Caenorhabditis elegans: one gene and its partners. The protein of the gene in region 1 purifies or fractionates together with the protein of each later gene. This does not show direct contact. Each region holds a gene or a part of one and is shown in the gene's direction. Other genes may lie near its edges. The genes, in order: sec-24.2, uda-1, sar-1 and usip-1.

Region 1 (7,998 bases):
TGGCAATTTCGTCTTCAGTTAACACTCGATGTACTCGACTCATTCCATTGGTTAACGTCTTTTTTCCATCGTTGTTTTCAGACTTTGTGAGTGGCTGGCCAGCTCCTCCGCCTTGTTTGTCCTTGTACTCCGATGTCATATCTCCTGATGACATTACATCACTGAAATTAAAATATTTTATTTAAAACATTCTCCAATGAATTTTTTTAGATTAAAAATACTAAAACTGACCCAAAACAACCTTTTATTGCATATTTTCGTCGCGTATATCGCGTTAATTCGTAGATTTTGGCACATTTCAAATCGATAATTGAATGCCTATCGACTTTAAATGTGCTTAATCGAATTAACACACTATAAGAAAATATGCAATAAAAGGGGAGAAAAACTAGATTCCTGCTGCTGCGACAAGGACAGGGCGACGAAATTTTAGATTTTAGCAAAAAATGGCTCTTTTTTTTTTAATTTTTACCCACCATCAAAGAATTTTTGGGAATTTTTTTGAGAAGCCTCATTATAGAGTTCAGTTTCATATTATCGATTTAATTGTGACGACGAGCTTAGAAAATATTTGCTAACTTTATTTTCAATCTTCTTACGAAACCCGATTTAAATCATCCGTATCTAATTTCGGTGTTGATAAAATCTTGAAAACTTACACCGACCGACAAAAGTACTAACAGGTAGGTTAGAAAAAGTTAAAAAATAATGAATGATGCTCTGTCTGTGTCCGTGGTCGACAATGTACACGGCAGATGGCGGGCCCGCCGCGAAAAATCGATATTGAAGCGACCGATGATGATTTCATCAGAGATACACGCTGGCCACTGGCATAACCACATTTTTAATTTTTTTTTTTTGAAATTATTAAAGTCAACAGATAGTTTTAATTTATGAATTTATTTTATTTTAATTTTAAAATTTTGAATTTCAGTTTAAAAAATTAAAACCGTTTTTATGTTGATCTAAATAGTAATTTTATTTAATTAAATTTTCAAAATGTGATTTTAAAATTATTAAAAGGTAAGTTTGAGTTTTTCTAACTAAATTGTGTGGAATTTCTCTCGAGAATTGACACAAGATACATTTAAATGACACTTTTTCGGTTCAAAAAGTACCTTTTTAACACTCTGACCATTTAAAATACCGGTCATCCGCCAGAAGTGATTGTTTGGCTGAAATAGTAACAAAATATTGTTATTTTAAGAAACACAATTGGAGAACGGTGTCCGCTCTCACTCTGCGGTGGTGGCGGTCGCTCCAATAGAGGCTTGGCCGGGCGAACGCGGCGATGCCTGCGTATCTAACTACGGTATGCATTCAATGTTTTCTGCCAACCGCACTTTTTACAGAATCCAGGAACACCAGTTTCGGGGGAAGCTTTCACATTCGGAAACCTTTATCAAATTGACAATTTTTCATTTATATTACACTAAAACACTCAAAACACCCTCCATTATCGATTTTTGATCCAATTGCTGAGTTGGAACTTTCTTCTCACTTACTAATAAAACCTGTGTTGAACGCTATGAAAATTATTTAACATCTTGCTGATCTTCTCTCGCTTTGTTCATACGAGGGCCTCCCTCTCGGCGATATTCTTCCACCTCTTCTCCTATTTTTCGTACAGTAAATGTTCTTTTTTGTTCCGCTCCTCTGAATTATTTCAAGGATTACGTGGAAATTGAGAGTGAGAGTGAAGAGTAAAAGAGAAAGCGAGAAAACAGTGATTTTATTGATTTCAGCGCAAAATCCACGTTTCACAATGAAGCAGAAACCGACGACGCCAATGTGTGGCGAGAGAAGAAGGCAAAATGAAAAAGAATTTCCAGCGAGGCAAAGAGAAAGAGCGCGAGACGCTAGTGTCTGTGTGCATCGCGCGCTTGAGGTCGCCTTCCATGGCGTAATTCTTCGTGTTCAATGAGATACTCGAGCAAAATCAGAAAATATTGTCATAAATATTTTTGTTTACGTTGTAAAATCTATTCTAAAGATCGCCGGTGAGAAGAGAGTCGCGAAATTTCGAAGCGTTGCGAAGTTAGGCAAATTTCAAGAGCAATTAATTATTAAACGCTATAAACTTTGCTGAAAATGAAAATAATGACTTTAAAAACTGAAGTGAACATTTAAACGATATTTGCGCCAAAAATAAATTATATTTGTTCAGCAGTATGCTGGTTTTTCGCGCAAAAAAAATTAGAAAAAAATGTGATCACTGATTTTCTCTAGTTGTGCATTTGTTCGTCATTCTGTTTGCACCCATCTAAATCTACCGTACTCTCTGAAGTTATTGATTAAATTTCTTTCGCCACGTTCATTCGTCTCGTCAGCTAAATATTTATCTACCGTTGTGAACTTGTTTTATTTTGTTCTTTTCTCGCAATATAATTTCATTATACAATTTCAGCGGGTTACACGAGCTATCGACGGATGTCGAATATACCGACAGCGCCGGGAAACGTTGGATTTCCGCAGGCGTACGGTCAAAACCAGAATCAACAATATCAACACGTCCAACAATTCAGTCAGTTTTCTCAACCATCTGCGGCTCCGTTAAATAATGCTCCTCCCAATTATGCAGCCAATCCGTTTCCTTTTCCGACTGCAACGACTTCGCAAGAGCCGGTATGTATTGATTCTCATCTTTACTTTCATATTTCCATTTCCTTCCTTAATTTTCTATTTTCAGGTGAAACCCGTATCTCAAATCCCAAATGGAGCACCAAGTTATCAATATAACCATGCTGCGCCAAATTATCCAACTGCAGCTTCAGCTTTTCCAGCTCATTCTGCAGGATTTTCTCATCAACCACCGTCCTTTTCACCCGCTACTCAGCCTTCTATGAACGGCCATCATGCTCCACCACCACCAGCTGTGGTATGGTTAATACTGCATATACAGAAGAATTGAATGTTTTATTTCAGTCCCGACCGCCAGCGTTTCCAACTCCACCACCATCAGTTGGTTCAGCAGCTCCAAGTATTCAGCCTCCGATCCCATCTGCACTTGCTTCAGCCCGACCTGCTCCATTTCCTGCTGCTCAACCTCCACCGGCACCAACTCCAACGCCTTCTTATCAGCAACAAATGGCTCCACGGCCTCAAGCACCAGCTGCTTATCCTCCGGCTTCACAGCAACAAGGATATCCTCCCCAGCCACAGCAAAATTCACAGTATGGTCAACCACAAGTCCCACAACCTCAAATGCAAAATATGAATCAGCAATTTGGACAAATGGTTTATTCATATTTGTTATTTCCCCGTATAAAGTTGATTTTCAGAACATGAGCGGAGCTCCTGGTCCTCAGCAACAAATGGGCGGGTATCGCAATGATATAATTGATCTGATTGCTGAAAGAAATGTTCAACAACTTGGTTTTGAAGATATCGAGATTCAGATTCCTCAACAAGTCGCGAATCCGAATGCTCATGTTGATCCAAAGTGAGGATTTTCTCTTGAAGAAGGAATTCTGTTTGTATAAATAAACTCAAAATGTGGCCGAATGGACGAATTTCGTAGTGAGACTTCTCAAAAATGCCTTCGCTACTGGCTGATATCAGCTAAAATCTCGAATCGCAGCTGTCGGAATTTGACTTTTATTTAGTTTAAATCCTTTATTGCATATTTTGATCGATTATCTCGCATCAAGAAATTGGTTCATCTGACCAAATTTTGAGTCTATACAAGCAAAAATCCAGAATCGTTACTATTGCAGATATTAGAAATATTAATAATTTTCTCTTCAGTATTTTCCGCTCAACACTCGCCCAAGTTCCACAAACAGAAGAACTACTGAAAAAGAGTCGATTACCATTTGCAATAACACTTCATCCGTTCCGAGATGTTAAGAATCTCAATATTATACAAACATCGAATATTGTACGTTGTCGGTATTGTCGGACATATATTAATCCATATGTATATCTTCCTGATCATCGACACTGGAAATGCAATCTCTGTAATAGAAATAACGACCGTATGTTGACTGAAAAATGTGAAATTGAGAAAATGCGAAAACCATTTTTTGTTTTCAGTGCCTGATGATTTCTGCTGGGACCCAGTGACAAAAGCATTCGGAGATCCTCGAAACAGACCGGAAATTCAAAATGCGACGGTTGAATTTATTGCTCCATCGGAATACATGGTATTTTCATATTTTAAACGATGTTTTTCTAAATTTAAACAAGCGATTTCAGTTACGTCCACCTCAACCTGCTGTCTATGTATTCGTGATTGATATTAGTGCTGCAGCAATTCAATCAGGCTATTTACACACATTTGCCGAGCAACTTCTCATCAATATAGATCAAATGCCAGGAGATGATCGTTCTCAAGTGTGCTTCATTGCTGTCGATCAATGCTTGCATTTCTTCTCATTTTCTAGTAATAAGCGGTATCCGAATGAAATGATTGTAGACGATATCGATGACGCTTTTCTTCCATCAGTCACATCACTGCTTGTTCCTATGAAGAAATTCAAAGATACAATTCGAACTTTTATCAAGCAACTTCCCGAATTCTACTCTCAAATCGGCCCAACTTCAAATGGAAATTGCCTCGGATCTGCATTGAAGCTCGCGCAGAGCATGATACAAGAAGTTGGAGGAAGGATATCAATCTTCCAAGTCAGCCTACCAAATCTTGGATTAGGAGCACTGAAAAGCAGAGAAGAATCGACGGAAGGTGGTCAGAATTTGGGGCCAGCAACCGATTTCTACAAAGCTCTATCGTTAGAGTGCACCGGATCGCAGATTTGCCTTGATCTGTTTATGTTCAACACGCAATATGCTGATTTGGCAACTCTTTGTAGGTTTTTTTGGAGAATTCCTTTTATTGGTGAGGGGATGCTGTCAAATTTTTTAAAAACGAAAAACTGACATTTTTCAGATTCGGTGTATCAAAAAACCTCTGCAAATACAGTTTTTATCTTGATACCTGGAAAATTAAAAAAAAAAATCAAACAGTTAATAAATCGTAGTTAGATCGATTTTCCAAAATTTTTTTTCTCGATTTTAAGGTGTTAATTTGTAGATGCTGAATCCGAAAAAATTCCAGTTTTTCGTTAAAAAAATGTAGAAAATGTCTGAAACACCACAAATCCGGGGCAGCTTTCAAATTGTCTGTCAAATTTGAAAGTTAAATTCAAAATGATTGAAAATAATTCCATTTTCAGCTGAAATTGCAAAGTTCTCGACAGGATGTGTCTACCATTTCCCGAACTACAACTATCGAAATGATATCCATCAAGTAAAACGATTCGAACGGACTCTCACTCGATATTTGACACGAAAACTCGGATTTGAAGCAGTTCTTCGTATTCGAACGTCTCGTGGCCTCGCTCTAACCGGTTTCTACGGAAACTTCTTCGTCCGATCTCCAGATCTTTTGGCACTTGCCAACGTGAATCCAGATTCTGCACTTGCGGCTCAAGTGACACTCGAAGAGAAGCTTCCGCAATATGTATGCTTCCAGTCAGCACTACTCTATACATCGAGTAAAGGTGATCGTCGTATTCGAGTACATACAATGTGCCTTCCAACAACTGGTGATCTACTTCAACTTTACAATAATTTTGATCTGAAAGCTACGGTATCCTATCTGGCTAAAATTGGAGTAGAACGATCTATGACTGGAAGTTCACTTGCTGATTCAAGAGAAGCACTTGTAAATGCAGTTGTCGACAGTGTTGGAGCATATCAGAAGGCTGTATCGAGAGGAAGTGGAATGCTTGTTCCACGTGTCGGTCATCTTCGGCTCTTCCCAAGTTATGTGCTGGCTATGCTCAAACATGTAAGCCTTGATTTGTAAAAACTAAATAAATTTAAATAATTAATTTTCAGCCAGCATTCTCCTCGTCTCGTGGCATCCGCCTAGATGAACGAGCCGGCGCAATGTTGATGATGCGATTCAGTCCATTGGACCAAATTCTGTCTGACATTTATCCACGTCTCTATCGGCTCAACGAACTCGCCTCAATGCCAGAAGATCAGTCGCCACCAGCATTACCACTATCATTCGAGCATATCAGTCGTGGAGGTGTCTATCTGATGATAACTGGTACTATTGCCTTTGTCTACGTGGCTTCATCCGCAGATCCAGGTTTCCTGGTTAATGTTTTCGGAACTTCTACGTATAATGATATTGATGAGGTGAGATTTCAATTGAATAGTTTTAAAAACATTTTAAATTACAGTATTCCCTTCTGGAAAGAGATAATGAATTGTCGAGAAGAGTGCACGCGTTCTTCAAGCAAGTCACACAATTCCGATTCTATCTGGGACCAATAATAACGATTAAGTAAGTCTTTAATTTAACATTTATTGAAAAAAAAGTTTTTATTGATTTTCTAAATTTTTTTGCCAAATAAAAACTCAGAGCCGTTTGAAAAAATTTGCGATTTTCGATCTCAACACAACCAAGTATTTGTTTAAATGAAAAAGGATATACGCTTTTTAAAATTACTACTGTATTTTTTAAAGGCTACTCCAAACTCTATGTTTTGAGCGTGGTATACGTTTTTACACATTTCTAAAGAATTTATCGTATAGTTTGTGCAAATGTGTAAAATAACTTAAGATTTAAGAAACGGGTGAAAAACGTATTGTTATCAGCTACAGTACTCCCTAAAGGCGCATGCTTTGATTTGAATTTGAGGACGCTTCGAGACCGGGTATCGTATTTTGAAACATAAATCTTTGTAGAGTTTTGCTTTGAAAAATCTGAAATATCTCTTGAAAAGTTTCACTCAAAGCTTTGATGGAAAAATCAGATTTGCTCAAAAAATTAATTTTTGCAGAGAACACTCGCCTCTCCGTGACGTGTTTGTACGGCGACTTGTCGATGATCGGTCAGAATCAACACATTCATATGTAGAATTCCTGCAGCATTTGAAACGAGAGATTAGTGGTAATTAGTTGATCAATTTTCATCCTCCATGCCGTTCCCATCATCAGTCAGTTCATCCGTGTGACATATCCATTCCCTCTTTTTTGTTCCCGTTTCCCAACAGTGTCCCATGTCTTTTTTTGCTTTGGTGTTTTTTCTTTCTCCGTAATTATTATTATTATTGTTCTTATTTTCTCTTTTTTTTTTGAAAATTCCGTTCTTTCTTCAATGTGCTCGAGTTGAACGGATATGGGTTTATCAATTGATTTTGTGTTTTTTCTTTCTAGTTGTGATTATTCTCCCCGTCTCTTGAAAATCCTCTAAATATTTCAACCATTTTTGGCCCTGCCTCACCATACATTTTATTTGTCGCCCGTCTTCCAAAATTCTTCCAAAAATCGATAAAGTGATAAATACCAAAGTGTATTTCTAATTATTATTATTATCATTTTTCCTTCCCCTCAAATTTCCTGTTCAATCATCCAGCCGACCCCCGTTAGGATTTTAATGTTACTTTTTTCTTGGTTTTTCAAAATAGCAATATTTATTACGATTTTTTGTTGCTTTTTGCACTTTTGTAGCAAAAACTCATGTGAACAGTTTTATTATCAAGTTTTTTTTCCAAGGATCTATGGTTTTTGAGTTGAAAAAACATTGAATTTTGAAACAAAAAACCAAAACTATTATACACAAAAATAAATACTCGTTATGATTTTCCGGCTGATTGGAAAAGACATAAATAACCGGATCAATGAGACAAATATCACAGAGCTTGCGGAATTATATAATGGGGGGTCTCAGTTGGAGGGGGAAATATTGTTTAATGTCGAGATGTTGTCTGTTGTTCTTCTGGTGGAAATACGGCAATTGAATGTGGATGCACTTGATTTGGATTCGATGTGGCAACGTTCATTTCAATGTCACCTGAAAAAGATTATGCTCAATATTCAGAAATTGCTCGAATATTGTAGAATCAACGAAAAAGGATGGTGGTGCGGTAGAGCGCAGTTGCACGAGGAGTATTTTTGAAAAAAAGTTAATTACTAATTATTCATTCTGCAAGCAAAAAAATAATTTTGGTTCCTTGAAAATCGAAAAAAACCAAGCTTTCA
Region 2 (5,585 bases), on another chromosome or scaffold:
GACGTTAGACCGGAAAACTGATTCTGATCCAACACTTTCTAAAACTCATAAATACCACGTCTCGTAATCTTTCCTATTCTTAGACAATCATCTAGTCTACGATTTCCATATTTCTCGAACAAACAGGCTAATATACAATAAATGCATATGTTCATGAATATTTAATATAAATTTCGCTTTTTATTATGTTCTCTCCATTTTCTCTCCGGCTCCACATGCTTCTAAATACCACTTTTATTCTCAATTGTACTTAAAAATACTACGTTCTTTTCATAAACGTACTTTGTCTGTTACATTACAATTGGTTCCTTTTGCATTTGCATCTGCATCTGCCATTCGTTTTTTTCATCTTTTTTGCAATGTTAGATCGTTGCTGTCGGAAAGGAAAATGAGATATGAGTGACAGAAGAGGGATGTAGTGGACACAAGAGGGTGAGAGAAACCAGTTTGTGGCCGGTACTCTAAACGCACCGGACATCTTCTTCGAATTCTACAAAGAGACGTCATCTTTTTCAGCGGCTGGCTACAAAATCGACTGACATGATTGTTCTTTCCAATTCTCATTTTAGTTTGTCTTATCGGTTGGAAAAGTAGAACATTTCATAAACTAGGTATAGTACTATACATATAGTGATTACATTATTTTTCTTATAGTAAAAACCTGATATCCTAAAGTAATATTTAATCAATTTTAAAGAATGGTAAACTTTTGAACAATTTTTTGAAACTCCCAATAAATATTGAACAAACGAAACTTATATTATCAATAAGCTTTTTTCAGTTGCCTACTCTCTATGCTAACTGAAGAACATTCTCTTGTGATTACTATTGTCTTTCAGAGAAGCAGAGAATAAATATAAATATGAACGTTCTGATCAACCATTCTGAATAATGTTAATATTAATATATATTCATCTCAATCTTCCAAAAATTCGTCAAGTTAAACCATATATGGTTATGTCTGACTTCTCACCGCCTCCAATCTCTCTTGCATATCCATTGGAGCGTAAATGCATTGCACTACGTGTACTCCTCTCGGAAACCCCAACAGATAATTTTTTTCGAATCTTTTCAATTTCTTCACCAGCAGCTTTCTCTCAATCTCTTTTACATCTCATTTTTAAATCCTCTACACCATCATCAATAAGAGCAATAAACATTTGACACCATACAACCATACGTTTGCGTTTTTGAACTTTCTTTGTCCATTCAATTCGTCTCGTTGATGTCAATCACTCGTCTTTGATAAAATTCTGTCTGTCGCGGACATATTGATGAAAAAACATGTCTGAGCATTATTAAAACTAGTCTAAAAATACCAAGCTCAAAGTAGGGAATGCTCTGCTTCACTGGTTGATAAAACTACCATGTGTTCTCCCATGAAAGTATGAAAACTGAAAAAAAAACAGAGTTGTTATCAGAATAAGAATAACTTATCAGCAATCATAAACTCTCAATTTCACCATATTCGTCTTTCGTTTCTTTCTCACGAATAGTACTTTTCTCGTTATTTCATAAAATAATTCATGAGAAATTCTCATTTAGAGCTATATTACACTCAAAATAATAAAACTGCGTGGCGTGTACTGCAGAAGACCTCATATTTAGGCCCCGCCTTTTTCTCGTCCACTCACGGAGAAAAGGCAAAAATTTGGGGACCGACCAATATCAGGCCGCCGACATCCTACGGGTTCCACGCGCCGCTATGTTTAACTCGCAGCGGGCGGAGACAGCTCACCACGCCCGCTGCGAGTTAAACATAGCGGCGCGCGGAACCCGTAGGATGTCGGCGGCCTGATATTGGTTGGTCCCCAAATTTTTGCCTTTTCTCCGTGAGTGGACGAGAAAAAGGCGGGGCCTAAATATGAGGTTTTCTGCAGTACACGCCACGCAGTTTTATTATTTTGAGTGTATTTTAAACTATTTTATTTTCCAATTTTCAATCGAATTCTTTTTTGGTTTTTGCACCCCAAATGGCTGTCACAACTGCTGGTACACATATTCCTCCATTTATTCACATGTTTCTTTCATTACCAAAGGCTAAAGAAAAATCACATGAATGCAACACTTTCTATTTTACACTATAAACTACAAATTTCACGTTGTCACACAATTATTATCGTTCTCCTCCTACTTTCTGTTTTTAACCAGTCATTTTTAGGTCAATCTCTCATTCCACTTGTCCTCTTCCCATTTATTTGCTCTTTTCTCGACTTTCCCGCATCTGTTTATTTGATTGACAAACGGTTTTTTACAGACTTCCCCACACTACCGTTTTCACCAACTTCTTCTTCTTCGTCAGTTTGATAATATTGTGAAATGTGAAAAAAGCGAACTCCGCCTTCGAGCAACCTCATTCCATTTCCTCTCTATAGAGGAGATCTCTACCCTGCCTAAATCGATAATCTGTGATTCTTGAAGTCGGGTTCGCTTCTTTTATTACTCGCGACACATAACGAAAATCAACGTCATGCTATTCCCTGCTTTTTCAATTCTTCTCATTTCCTTTTTCTCACTTTTATCTGTGGTAACAACAAAAACCCAATACTGGTGTCATGGCGACGGAGTTCTAAACAATGTGAGTTTTTTTTGCCTGTTTTCAGATCTCAAAATAGAAAAATATCGAACGAAGTCTACGGAAAAACGTTGTTGTTCTTTGAAAGAGATGGATGCAAGCGATACCTTTTTACACAAAGTTTTGCTTGACCGATGAAAAATCTTTCACAAAAGACAGAGAGAAATGATAAGAAATTGATGCGAAGTTTGTAGCGACATTTTAAAATGAATTTATTTTTAGCAACACACATGTCGATTCTTCACGATAGTAATTGATGCAGGATCCACAGGAACACGATTACATTTATATAAATTTATTCATGATCCCGCAATAGCTTCACATGGTATGCCTTTTAAGGTTGAAAAAGAGATATTTCAAGAGGTATTGAATAAGATAAATGTTATATTAACCTTATTTTCAATTTTAAGGTGAAACCAGGACTTTCTTCGTTTGCGAAATCTCCGAGCTCTGCCGCTGATTCACTGGAGCCACTTCTTCAAAGAGCTCGAAAAGAAGTTCCTCATTTCATGTGGGAAAAGACGCCGATCACATTGAAAGCCACAGCTGGGCTACGTCTTCTACCTGGAGATATGGCCGACGATATTCTTGAAAGTGTAGAAGAGCGGATATTTAACAGTGGATTTTTTGCCGCTTTCCCGGATGCCGTTAATGTAATGCCAGGCAGCGATGAGGGTGTGTACAGCTGGTTCACACTTAATATTCTTCTCGAAACTCTTTTCACCGGTGAGCTATTTTTTCCATTTTGTTGCCTCTATTTACTTTAGGAGCATCCTGAACAGTGTGTCATTTGAAATTTAGCACGTAGGCTATGCAAGCAAATATCATTCAAGATTATCAGGGTCAAATATCAAATCATCAAATAATTTTTAAAAAAAGATTATTTGTTTCGCATTGCGTTGGAGAATCTGCAACAAGTCATTCCGAGATAAACCACACTTTTTCAAAAAAGTTTCTAGTTTTCCGTTGACGTCTGAAAATGATTTTCGAACGACTTTCGAAAACAAGAAAAAGAAGAAGAACCGAAGCATAAATAAAAATGTGATAAGAAATGCGTCACTAGTTTTAATCGAAAATAGTTTAATACATCAAACTAGTCAAATATTACATTTCATTAAAATATCTACGAGTACGGTATCTAAAACCAAGTATTCAATTAAATCATATTAATAAGTGAAAAACATATTTCAGATGAGCCTACCGTCGGTCATAAGCCAGCAGCACATCGTTCAGTAGCTGCATTCGATTTAGGTGGAGGATCTACCCAGCTCACCTATTGGCCAAATAATGAAGCTGTTTTTTCGGAGCATGTTGGATATGAACGAGATATAGATTTCTTCGGACATCATATTCGACTTTTCACTCATAGTTTTCTTGGAAATGGATTGATTGCTGCACGATTGAACATTCTTCAATTAGAAACTGATAATGAAATCGAATCAACTCATCAATTGATCACAAGTTGTATGCCTGAAGGATATCAGCTGACAGAATGGGAGTATGCATTGAAGTTTTGGAATATCAAGTAAGAAATGCGTGTTTTGTTGATCATTAAATTAAGTTTTAAATTTTCAGTGGTTCTTCATCGCACTCCTTCGAAAGTTGCTATGGTACCACAAAGAATTTTGTAGAATCCAGTGAAATCATGCATTTGCGAGAATTGAAGGGATCTCCAGTTTATTTATTCTCGTACTTCTTTGATCGTGCTTTGAACAGTGGACTTGTTAAAGGAAACGAAGGTGGAAAGATCGAGTTGAGGCAATTCAAAGAAGCTGCGGAAATTGCTTGCCGAAGGGAAAAAACTGAAATCGACGATGGAAGTCACTGGATGCCTTGGCAGTGTCTTGATTTGACATATATTTACTCTCTGTTGCGAGATGGATATCAGTTCGAAGATAATCAGCCTCTCGTGGTAAGTCATTATTTCAATTATTATATTGCTATGAAAAATAACCTTTTGAAACTAATCCAATCTTGTTTCAGTTGGCCAAGAAAATAAAAGGAATGGAGGTTTCATGGGGACAAGGACTTGCATTTGCAACTGCCAACGAGTTTCAGCTAACAGAAGGAGCAATCAAAACTGCACTCTCATCGGAACCAAACTCTACAGTAGTTGACCAGATCTTTGATTTAGTGTACTCAGGCACAAATCAAGTACTCTCATATTTTAATATTATTTCCGTCTAACCTCATCGTCTAATACCTTCAATTCTGTGATTATTTTCCATTCCTTACCGTTCTTATTCGGGTAGACCTTTTATGCAACCACATCCTAAACCATCATCGATTCGAAATCAGACTACGAGTTTTCATATGTTCACTTTTGAACTATTTTTAAATTTTACCCATGTTATATAATTCATTTAGTTTTGCGGCATTGCCTTGTTCTCAATAAAATACATTCCTTTTCTGTTTTGTACATACATACATCCAAAAGTCAATCAGTTAGGGAAAAACATAGAGAATCTAGTGAACAATCCGAGTGATAAAATATGAAACATTTTATAATTGAAATGTTAACATTTGAATATTTGTTGTAAAACATTTTTAGTTTTCCAGTTTAAATAAGTTATTGTATTTGGTAGATTTTACTTTCGTTCAGGGGCTATTAATATTGCGCAATATATATAAATATATTGCGAAGAAAGCTGGAATTTTCAATTTGCTAGAAACGTAACTTTTTTTGGCAGCGCTCAATTCTGAATAAGCGTATTTCAATAAATCTATAAATTTTTGAAAATCTGAAAATCTATCGGTTACCATGATCACAAGATGTCGATTTAGGGGCTCGATTTTCGAAATGGATTTATCGATAGAATCAAGCAAAAAAGAAATATTACGAAGAAACTAATTTTTTACATTTCCAAAATCAAATTCTAAACAAGCGCTACAGTAGTCATTTAAAGGATTACTGTAGTTTTCGATACGGGATATTTTGCGCGTCAATTATGATGCGCAATACGCATTCTCAGAATTTTATGTTCCCGTAATATGAGCAGAAAATTGAAAA
Region 3 (4,223 bases), 7.8 Mb from region 1:
CTGTATGTTCTGAAAACTAACACTTTTTTGTCTTCTTCCATTTCTTTTCCCTAACTAAAGATCCTTGTTTCAGGAGTCAAAGCCAGGATACGAGCAGACCGCCCCAGCTGTTGAGACCAAGGAGGAATCCTACGACGAGCAGGAGGCCGAGGAGACCCATGTCGAGCCAGAGCAGCCAGCCGTCGTCGGTGGAGGATACTCGGCTACCGAGGCCCCAGCCAAGCCAGATGGTGGATACCGCACCCACTAAATTTCTTTTTAGTTCCCCCATAGGTGCCCCATTGCTCTGATCTCGTTTTGATTGTTCGCCAACAACCACCCTCGACAAATCTGCTCAAAACATCACAAAATTCTCGTCTTTTTTTTGCCTCGTTCTTTCCTTTGTCTGTATATACTGTTGCCTTATTTTATTTCTCTTATATATATTTTATTATGTCATTTTCGTGAGTAGTAGACAACAATTCACTGACTGAAATTGTCTAATTTCAAATAAAATGGTGATTTTAGAAAGTTTAATTTTTATTTGTTCAGGGAAAACAAGAATCCGGGTCTCGACACGGCCGAAAATTACTGAATCGAAACTGCAGAGATGAGTTTGAAACTGCAGAGATGAGTTATGTGCCTTTAAAAATACAGTAGTTTTCGGATTTTTAATTTTTCCTGTCAAAAAAATATTTTTACAGGTTTTTGAGTTAAAAAAAAACGAAAAAATCGTAATTTTTGAGGCGAAAATACGGTACCCGGTCTCGACATGACTATCTTTGTTAAACACAGAAAGGTGTACTCCTTTAAAGGAGTACTGTAGTTTGAAACTTTTGGTGCAGCGGAATTTTCATCGATTTTTTGCAGTTTTACTCGCGATTTGCTAAATAATATTTATGTGTGTTTTTTTTTATAATTGACCAGCCGGTGTCGTTCGAGCCTACGGCTCGACCTACTCCGACTGGCTTAAAATAAAGTTCGAAAAAAAAAATAAATGAATGAACTTGATTTTTTTTTTGAAAATGAAAACTTTCAAACTAACGTGAATTTTGCGTGTTGGCATAGCCTACATTGGACGGTAGGAAACTCTACTTTATATTTTTTTATAATTGATACACCTATTTTTAAGAAAAATATGAGAAACAATGAAAATTGTGCAACAACAGAAGTTTGAGACTACAGTACTCTTTAAAGGCGCACACCTTTTTGCAATTAACAACAAATTGTCGTGTCGAGACCGGATACCGTATTTTGCCACAAAAATGACAAACCTTCGGGTCGCGGTATTAGTTTCTCCCATGGTATTAAAAATTTCATTTTTCAGTTTCTCAAAAATTGAGCGGATTTAAAATCGAAGAAATATACCGTAGTATTTAAAGGCGCACGCTTTTTTTGAGGCATTAAACAAATTATCTGGCGTGTCGAGACCAAATGTAGCTGAATAAGTTTTACTATTTTATAAATTCAAATTTCAATGAATAATTTCAAAAGAAAAACATTTCCTTCACGTTTTCTTTTTTATCGAGAAAAAACCATGCCATAAAAACTCTTTTCAACATTTAAATTTTTTCGAATCAGTTTCAAAAATCGATTTTTCGAAGTGATCTGAACATTTTTCATTAAAAGGAGTTTTGGCGCGTAAGTTTTATTCTTTAAACTTTTTATTTAAACGAAAATTTAATTTTCCACCGATTATTGTTGAAATTTAGGAGTTTTACATTGTAAATGCCAATTGTCTTTCCATTATGTTTCGTCTCTACTTAAAATTTGTGATATTTGTCGAATTTTGCATGCCTTTAATTGTTATTTAAAGCTTAAGCGTATTTTCTCCATTCCGCACGGAAAGCGCGCCTTTCATCCTTACTGACGCATTTCCCGACGCTGGCGCACTTCTCGACCATCTGCCACTTTGGACACGTCAGCGCTTTCCGGATTCACTTTAAATGAAGCTTTCCTGGTCCCGAATCGCCGATTTTCAGAATTAGAATTTTTTGATTATCACACTGCGTCTCTTTTCTCTTTTCGGGTACACGTGGAAGCGCGTGTCGTTTTGTCTCTGTGTAGCACGCTACACAGAATGTCTCCGCCTCGTTATTTTCTCTCTTTTCCTCTTTTCTCACCCCCATTTAACCACTAAAAGTTCCCACTTTTGATCTATTTCAGTTCATTCATTTATTCTCTAAAAAATGCCTGATTTACCCGATTTTTAAGTGATTTAATTAATAAATTAATTGCATAATTTTCCAGATTCAATATGTCGTTTTTATGGGACTGGTTTAATGGAGTGCTCAACATGCTGGGTTTGTAAAACTGAATTTTACCATCATAAAACCTTTTATTTACAGGATTGGCCAACAAAAAGGGAAAATTGGTATTTTTGGGACTAGACAACGCTGGAAAGACTACACTGCTTCACATGCTTAAAGATGATCGTATTGCTCAACACGTTCCCACTCTTCACCCAAGTAATTATCGCTTTTTATTGATTTTAAAAGCAATTCCGGTGTAGTTCAGCCTGTTAAAGGAAGGAATCTTACTTTAAAAAAATGATATCTTTCTCTTCTTTACAGCTGATTGACCGGTTTTGCTTATCATCTGTCAATTGCTAAAGATGATGACGCAAAAAACTAGTTGTGAGAATTATTGAATTGATTATTTTTCAGCATCTGAGCAAATGTCACTCGGAGGAATTTCGTTTACCACATACGATCTCGGTGGTCACGCGCAAGGTATTCACTCGTTTTTTCGGTTTTTTAAACTAATTTTCTTCATTTTTCCAGCACGACGAGTCTGGAAAGATTACTTCCCTGCCGTGGACGCCGTCGTCTTCTTGATCGATGTGGCCGACGCCGAAAGAATGCAAGAAAGCCGTGTTGAGCTCGAATCGCTGCTCCAGGACGAGCAGATCGCTTCCGTTCCAGTGCTTATTCTCGGAAACAAGATTGACAAGCCAGGAGCATTGAGTGAGGATCAGCTCAAGTGGCAACTCAACATTCAACATATGTGCACCGGAAAGGGTTGGTTTTTGATTGGAAATTATCGCTTGAATTTATTTAAAAAACGAAAATCTTTATAGGAGACGTTTCCCGCAACGAAATGGCTTCTCGGCCGATGGAAGTGTTCATGTGCTCTGTTCTTCAGCGACAAGGATACGGAGAAGGAATCCGTTGGCTTGGACAGTACCTGTAAACAGATCAGTTCTTGAACTCTTCTTCTTCTGCTCACTCCTTTTTTATTCCATTCTCGAAAAAAGCACCATTCTCTTACATATTGCGCCGCCAACATTTCCCATAGATTTGTTGTACGTACTTGTCATTTTCCTTCGTTTTTTCTTTTGGGATCCTTGGGATCCTCATCATTAAACTTCTCATGCCTTCGACGTTTGTGCATAAAAAAGCAAGCCGCAATCCCATTTTATTTTATTTATAAATTTTGACTTATACGGACTTGTAAAAAATTCACGGCGTCCTCATTGTTTTTCTATTCTCCACAAAAATTTATTCAAACCTTTTCCTCATCTATTCCGTATTTATCACATCACTATCATTCAAACATCCCCATTTTTCTTCTCGTCCCACTTCATTTCCCCCTCAGATTTTCTAATTTTTTATTTCGGTTAGTTCTATGTGAATGAAACAGCTTCGGAATGTTGCAGTTCGAAGTTTTCCCAGAAATTATTCTCTTATCACGCTACTCACAAGAAAAAAAACGTCACGCCATATAGTTGTTTTCTTTGTGGCGAGCTTTAACTATAGTTATAACTGAAACTGAAAAACTTGGAATTTGAAAAGAAAATTGTTGATCGGAGTACATTTGATCACAAGGGCCTGTAGTCAGGCGACATGGTCAAACATTCCATTATGTGGTTTGTGTTCCAAGTGGTCAAACGGACACATTTCTATTTCAGGTGCGGAAAAAAAATTAATTTCAGATCAGATAATTGGCTATTTTTCCAGAAGAACCTTTTCGTCGTAGTCTCACAGATGGCTTCTGCAGTACATTTGAGTGCACACAGCTCACTCCAATTCTCTATTCCTCCACTCTCTCGACGCAATGGTGTTCGTGTGCACCCACTACGAATATCCAATAATCAGGGAAGGGAACCTCCTTTATTCATAGAATTTTAAATAAATATTTTGAATTTATCATCATCTATATTTTACTTGTAAACTCTATTAAAATAGTTTTATCGTCAAAATACTTTGAATTCGATAATTTTGCGGGAATTGTTTTTTTCAATT
Region 4 (5,370 bases), on another chromosome or scaffold:
ATGTAAATAATAAGTTCATCCAATAAAATTTTTATAAAATAGAAAACATGATCATCACTGAGATCAAATGAGTCGTTTTCACAAGGTGGATGAAAAATACTTTTTAAAAAGTTTAATTGGAATATTCAGTCAAATGTGCCTTTCTCCAATGTAATTGTGAATTTTGATGTAACTGATGCAACTGATGAATTATCAAAACTACCAAACATTGAAGAATTTGTATCACCAGGTGCAACAGAACATTCTCGTGACATGAAAATCAAAATTTTAGGATCAATTCCAACTGCTCTCATGACAGATTCTCGATACGGTTTGATAAAAGTAACGGTAATCAATGGATTGATAACGGGAACCAAAACGGCAAAAAGAAGTGTGAAACTTTCAAGAACTGGAGATTCAACGATCCTCAGCTGACCAAGTAGGAAACAAATTGATGAGAATATAAAAGCAATTGGAACAATAGTCTGAACTGTCAGTGCCTGCAATAAATCATATTTCAAAATAATTTACATTTTCAGACTAACCCAAGTCAGCTGTCTATGTTTTTCTCGAATTTCCGGACGGAGAATTGCATTTCGTAACTTGAAGTGTATTTTTCGGCGGAGCCCATACATAATCAAATATCCAGGGATAATTGGAATAAGCATTAGAAGATATGAAAACAAACACGGAAATTCTCGAAGATCAGCATGTCCATTTATAACAAAATCTTGTAATTTATATTGAGAATGATGAATTTGAATAAGTTGTCGAACATCTTCTGGCTTGTTGTTATCAATGAATACGAAAATTGCTTGCAAGTATGATGGGAAGTATATAATGCAAATTAAAATGATAAGCTGTTTAGCTTTTGGATATCTTTCCAGAAGAACATAACATCGGAATATAAAACAGAGAATTAGAAGATGAAAAGAATATGAATGAAAATGAAGTTGAAGACTGAAACCCAGAAAACAAGACCATTCACTGAGATATTTGCAAAGTCCAGTTGAAGCAATTCCAAGTGTTGTACCACTTGGGATTAATCTGAAATTAATTATATATAGCTCAACTCGCCATTGGAGTATAAAGAAAAAATTTGGGTTCTTTTTTGAAAGTGTAATCTCATGAATTATATATAAGCGTGGAAAACATGAAAACGGCCCTGCTTAATTTTGACATTATTGGAAGAAACTAGAGCATATCGAGAACATGGTGCATTGCTAGGAAATGCAAAATAAAATTTGGAAATTACCTTGATTGACTGAAAATATCAAAAAAACAAGCAAGTGCATCAGATCCACCTCTGACAGTCAATAATATAGAAAATGTTCCAATAGATTTAGGGCTTCTGAATAAAGTTAGAAAAATCAAAATCGTATTGAAAACAATTCCGAGAAAAGCGAGCACATAGTGTAGAATAAATATAACCAAAAGGAACATCTTTGTACATTTTTGATATTTTTACATTTATATACTAAATTCGATTTCCGATTTATGTTATGCTTGTCCTTTTATTCGAATCCCAGCAATCAGAATCGAATTTCCGTTTATTTTTTCGTTTGTAGACGAACTCAATTCCAAATAAAAAATATTATTAATTCAAATTCAATCTTTGAAAGACCGATGTTTATGGAATGATGTTTATAATTTTTAAGCAGGCATAAGTTTTGGTTGATTAGAAGGATTCTGATCAATCAATGCAAATAATTTCTAAGACAATTTTATAAAATTTATTTAATAATTTTTTTTAAAAACAACTTTTTCCCTTTAGAAAGGCAATGCAGAGAAAACTTACTAGACAAATACATACTAGTACTAGGTCCACAACTAAAATTTGTCAATAAAAATTTATTTGAAAATCCGCCACTTACGACACTCCGATATAACGATGCGCGTGTAGTTTATCAACTCAGTTTTTCAGTCATTTTTCGAAAAACTTTTTTATTGCGCGAATCTATTTAAAATTTGTTACTCTTTTTTTATTATTATTCTGATAAACGCAAAATTTAAATCCCTGAATGCGCACGTTCCAATTAATTTGTAACCTATAACAAAATGCAATGTGTTGTTTATTATAATGAAAATTGTTTTGCTCGAATTTTCGACGAAGATTCCCTAGTGTATTCGATTCCATGGCAACGCATGATTCCATTCTCCATCCTCTTTGTTTACCTAAAATTATATATTTTTCCAGATATTTCAGTTATGCGATAATGTCTTCAAACTTGCAACTGGTTGAAACGTTTGATAGTCGTCAATTCGTTGTTGCTCGTTGGAATCGAAATGATACGACAGCTATGGTTCCTTCTGCAATTGCTGTCGTTGTCTTCGTGGAGTCGGTTGAGTATAAACTTGGTTGTAAGGTAAAAAATATTGTTATGCTGTGAAAACAAGCATTTGAAATTAAACCGTTTAGGAGAAAATAGGATACTCTCCAACACCTGAAGATCAAGATCAGTTTATGATATTGCAAATGGAATCAATAGATGAAGCCAACAGGATTTGCCACGATTCCATCGCTAAAGGATTTGCAATCAACAATGTAAATAATTATTTTTAGCTGATTGTATACAATTCCTTTTATTTTCAGACGAAAATCGTGTTCACTCCCCTTCTAGGCTTGAACGGATTCAGACTTCAAGATGCCATTGATTTCATGAAAACTTCGCAACCGCACTTCAATAACGACGAGCTTTTGGAAGTGTTGACAATGGCTATCTGTCAAGAACTTCCTGAACGCTTAAAAATTCTCGAAGATGGATTTTCCTTCATTGAACAAGGGGTTTCTGAGCTCATTCAAAATTCTGCTTGTGAGATGTTCGGCTCTTTTGCATCACCGGTGCGGCGAAATGGTTACTCAGACATTGTAAGTTGTTAGAAAAATAATTTTATTTTATTTTATTAAGAAACAATAATGTTTTTAGGACATTAACGTGGAATCAGTCAGCGCTCCAGGTCAACGCGTTTCTACAAATGTAAGACCATTGAACGAAGTTGTGGCAAATCCAAAGGTACAAAAATTACTGTAAATTGTCCTGAAACAATATACAATTACAGTGTCTCATCACTCATCCACTAACCAAATCGGAGCTTGAGACATACCCACAAGAGGAAATTATCAAAATTCTCTACCGGTGCTTCAACGAGAACAGTGCATTCAAAACTAAATTCGAGATGCGTTTCTTACCTGCACGCACTCCAATCATAGTCTTCAAAAATATCGAAGTGGAAGGAATGAATGTATGTTGACGCTTTCAAACATTGATAATTCATTCATTTCAGGTGTCATACGATCTATCAGTTCACAATCAAATCAGTGTTGAGAAGGCGAGCTTGTTGCATGAATTCATCGTAAAAGACAAGTCGAAGGGAAGTAGAATGAAAAATGCAATGATGTTCATCGTACACTGGGCAAAATCAAATAAGTTGCTATCGGGTGACTATCCGGTAATTATATATTGAATTAGGCAGTTCTTAAACTTCATTATTTTAGGAAGAGAAGCTTGAAGTCAAGACAAAGCTGAACTCTTACATCATCAATCAGCTCGTTATTCATTTTGTTCAAGCAGCAACCAACAAGGTTCATGTGAATCCTCAAGCAAAGCGAGATTCTCGAGTCAATGAATACAACTTTGACACTCTGTTCGGCGATTATTGCAAGTTTTTCCGAGAGCTTTTCAAATACTATGCCAACTTTGATTTTACGAACAAAGCGATTTACGGGAAGAAAGCGATGCAAAAGTAAGTTAAAAACTAATTTCTCACAACTAATTTGTATATTTTTTTTTAGAAAAACACTCTCAAGTGCGCACGGAGGCGTTGAAGAATCTCCGTTGATGTTGATGGATCCCATGGATATTACTCATAATATTTCGGCAAAAGTAACAGAAGACGCGGTCAAACTACTAAATGGTCTTATTCGGAACGCTCTTTTCATTGTAAGCATTATTTTGATTGTTTATGGATTAAAAGTTATATTTTCAGTTGAAACAAAATCATTTTCACATCAACTATCTTCTGGAAACCAACACGATGGCTACTATGCTTATGAAGAGCAGAGAGCCAAAAATCAGTATATCAACTAGAGTAACTGATGGAGCCGAGCACCAGTACTTGTCAGTACAACTTCCAGCCGTGGTGATAACCTCGAGTGATCTTTTCCTCCTTCTTACTAGAGTTCTTCGCTTTAATGTCTGTCCGAATGAGCAAGGACCCAGTGTTGTTGATTTATGTACTCCAACGGTTAGTTCTATAGAATAGAAAGAATGTGACGTTTACAACTACTATTAATTTCAGGGTGCCATTTTCCTTGTAACTTCAAGAGCTTGGGTTGGACGTCGCAATACGAAACGCGCTTTGAAAAACTCTCGTCACGATTTGACGCCTCTCCAGATTGATGTTATGTGCAGTGACAAGTACGATTACGAAGAAGATATTGCGGAGTTGCGTATCTCGATGAGCACTGTTCCTGGCACCAGAATTAGGTTGGCATGCATCGATATAATGCGTGGTCAAGTTTCCGAAGTTCGCGACGCAATCCACTTTTTGATTGATCAATTCATTAACAATAACTACGATGACCTCGAGAAGAATGGCGTTCAAACCATTTCCAGGATTCCAATTGCAGCCCCAACTTGGCCATAATCATGTTCTCAATGTATAAGTGTTCTATGAATTCGATTTGTATGTATGATCCACCATATATTTTATTTCATATTTATTCCGGTATTTTTCTGACACGTCACCCAGTGACCATTTTCCATTGAATCTCAACAAATAATTTTTCCGCTTTATTATATTCAACACCCAACTTTCATGATCACTTCTCGGTCTGTGTTCTATTTATGTATATCGAAATTTCTAAGTTTGAAATACACTGGTCATCTTGAAAGCGATTTTTGAGTTCATTGTCGGTTAATATTCCAATTTATATCTAAAACATCAATTTGAATAGGAAATGTATCAAAACTGTATTCAGATGGATCAGAAGGGTTCACAAAGAGCACTACTGGCACAAACAATAAATGAAATTGTCAAGCTTCTTATTGAAGCTCACAATCAAAAAAAGGATGTCAACTTGAATCGGCTGAAATGCATCGTATGTGGTTAGGCGGTAAAACACATTTCAATAAATATTTTCAGGTTGCTCAAAAGAATGGACTGAGTTTTCAACCGAAACTCGTTGACATTATCGCTGGAGTTCCGTCCGATTACAAAGACAGCCTTCTTCCAAAACTCAAGGCAAAACCAGTTCGAACTGCTTCTGGAATTGCTGTTGTAGCAGTGATGAGCAAACCACATCGTTGTCCTCACATCAATTTCACTGGAAACATTTGTGTCTATTGTCCCGGTGGGCCAGATTCTGATTTCGAGTATTCAACACAAAGT

What was found.
Region 2: the proteins of sec-24.2 (region 1) and uda-1 fractionate together in Caenorhabditis elegans (co-fractionation; one large-scale study listed by BioGRID). This does not show direct contact.
Region 3: the proteins of sec-24.2 (region 1) and sar-1 fractionate together in Caenorhabditis elegans (co-fractionation; one large-scale study listed by BioGRID). This does not show direct contact.
Region 4: the proteins of sec-24.2 (region 1) and usip-1 fractionate together in Caenorhabditis elegans (co-fractionation; one large-scale study listed by BioGRID). This does not show direct contact.

The regions. Positions count from the first base shown.
Region 1 is NC_003282.8:12,355,202-12,363,199, reverse strand, and holds sec-24.2 (uncharacterized protein), read left to right. Parts: upstream 1-2,407; 5' UTR 2,408-2,430; coding exon 2,431-2,625; intron 2,626-2,689; coding exon 2,690-2,878; intron 2,879-2,925; coding exon 2,926-3,237; intron 3,238-3,281; coding exon 3,282-3,442; intron 3,443-3,747; coding exon 3,748-3,977; intron 3,978-4,035; coding exon 4,036-4,145; intron 4,146-4,197; coding exon 4,198-4,807; intron 4,808-5,174; coding exon 5,175-5,791; intron 5,792-5,841; coding exon 5,842-6,150; intron 6,151-6,194; coding exon 6,195-6,298; intron 6,299-6,797; coding exon 6,798-6,915; 3' UTR 6,916-7,498; downstream 7,499-7,998. Other genes in the region: ZC518.8 (Glutathione S-transferase), read left to right, coding at 1,292-1,312, 1,353-1,436; best-22 (Bestrophin homolog), read right to left, coding at 7,707-7,810.
Region 2 is NC_003283.11:10,002,498-10,008,082, forward strand, and holds uda-1 (Nucleoside-diphosphatase uda-1), read left to right. Parts: upstream 1-2,257; 5' UTR 2,258-2,470; coding exon 2,471-2,578; intron 2,579-2,797; coding exon 2,798-2,938; intron 2,939-2,985; coding exon 2,986-3,301; intron 3,302-3,766; coding exon 3,767-4,100; intron 4,101-4,150; coding exon 4,151-4,487; intron 4,488-4,558; coding exon 4,559-4,762; 3' UTR 4,763-4,985; downstream 4,986-5,585. Other genes in the region: K08H10.10 (uncharacterized protein), read left to right, coding at 1-67. UniProt on the Caenorhabditis elegans protein: Hydrolyzes UDP and GDP but not any other nucleoside di-, mono- or triphosphates. May promote reglycosylation reactions involved in glycoproteins folding and quality control in the endoplasmic reticulum.
Region 3 is NC_003282.8:4,511,326-4,515,548, reverse strand, and holds sar-1 (Small COPII coat GTPase SAR1), read left to right. Parts: upstream 1-2,229; 5' UTR 2,230-2,236; coding exon 2,237-2,282; intron 2,283-2,327; coding exon 2,328-2,447; intron 2,448-2,645; coding exon 2,646-2,711; intron 2,712-2,762; coding exon 2,763-2,999; intron 3,000-3,058; coding exon 3,059-3,171; 3' UTR 3,172-3,656; downstream 3,657-4,223. Other genes in the region: ZK180.5 (Prion-like-(Q/N-rich)-domain-bearing protein), read left to right, coding at 1-2, 74-250; ZK180.8 (uncharacterized protein), read left to right, coding at 3,966-4,109. UniProt on the Caenorhabditis elegans protein: Small GTPase that cycles between an active GTP-bound and an inactive GDP-bound state and mainly functions in vesicle-mediated endoplasmic reticulum (ER) to Golgi transport.
Region 4 is NC_003283.11:12,181,001-12,186,370, reverse strand, and holds usip-1 (U6 snRNA-specific terminal uridylyltransferase), read left to right. Parts: upstream 1-2,176; 5' UTR 2,177-2,195; coding exon 2,196-2,345; intron 2,346-2,398; coding exon 2,399-2,524; intron 2,525-2,572; coding exon 2,573-2,848; intron 2,849-2,906; coding exon 2,907-2,993; intron 2,994-3,039; coding exon 3,040-3,222; intron 3,223-3,264; coding exon 3,265-3,429; intron 3,430-3,475; coding exon 3,476-3,723; intron 3,724-3,772; coding exon 3,773-3,920; intron 3,921-3,966; coding exon 3,967-4,224; intron 4,225-4,278; coding exon 4,279-4,626; 3' UTR 4,627-4,870; downstream 4,871-5,370. Other genes in the region: srd-4 (G protein-coupled receptor), read right to left, coding at 126-479, 525-1,026, 1,235-1,422; elpc-3 (Elongator complex protein 3), read left to right, coding at 4,961-5,080, 5,125-5,370. UniProt on the Caenorhabditis elegans protein: Acts as a specific terminal uridylyltransferase for U6 snRNA. Responsible for the addition of UTP at the 3' end of U6 snRNA which stabilizes U6 snRNA. Does not have activity towards modified uridine containing 3'-monophosphorylation or 2'-O-methylation.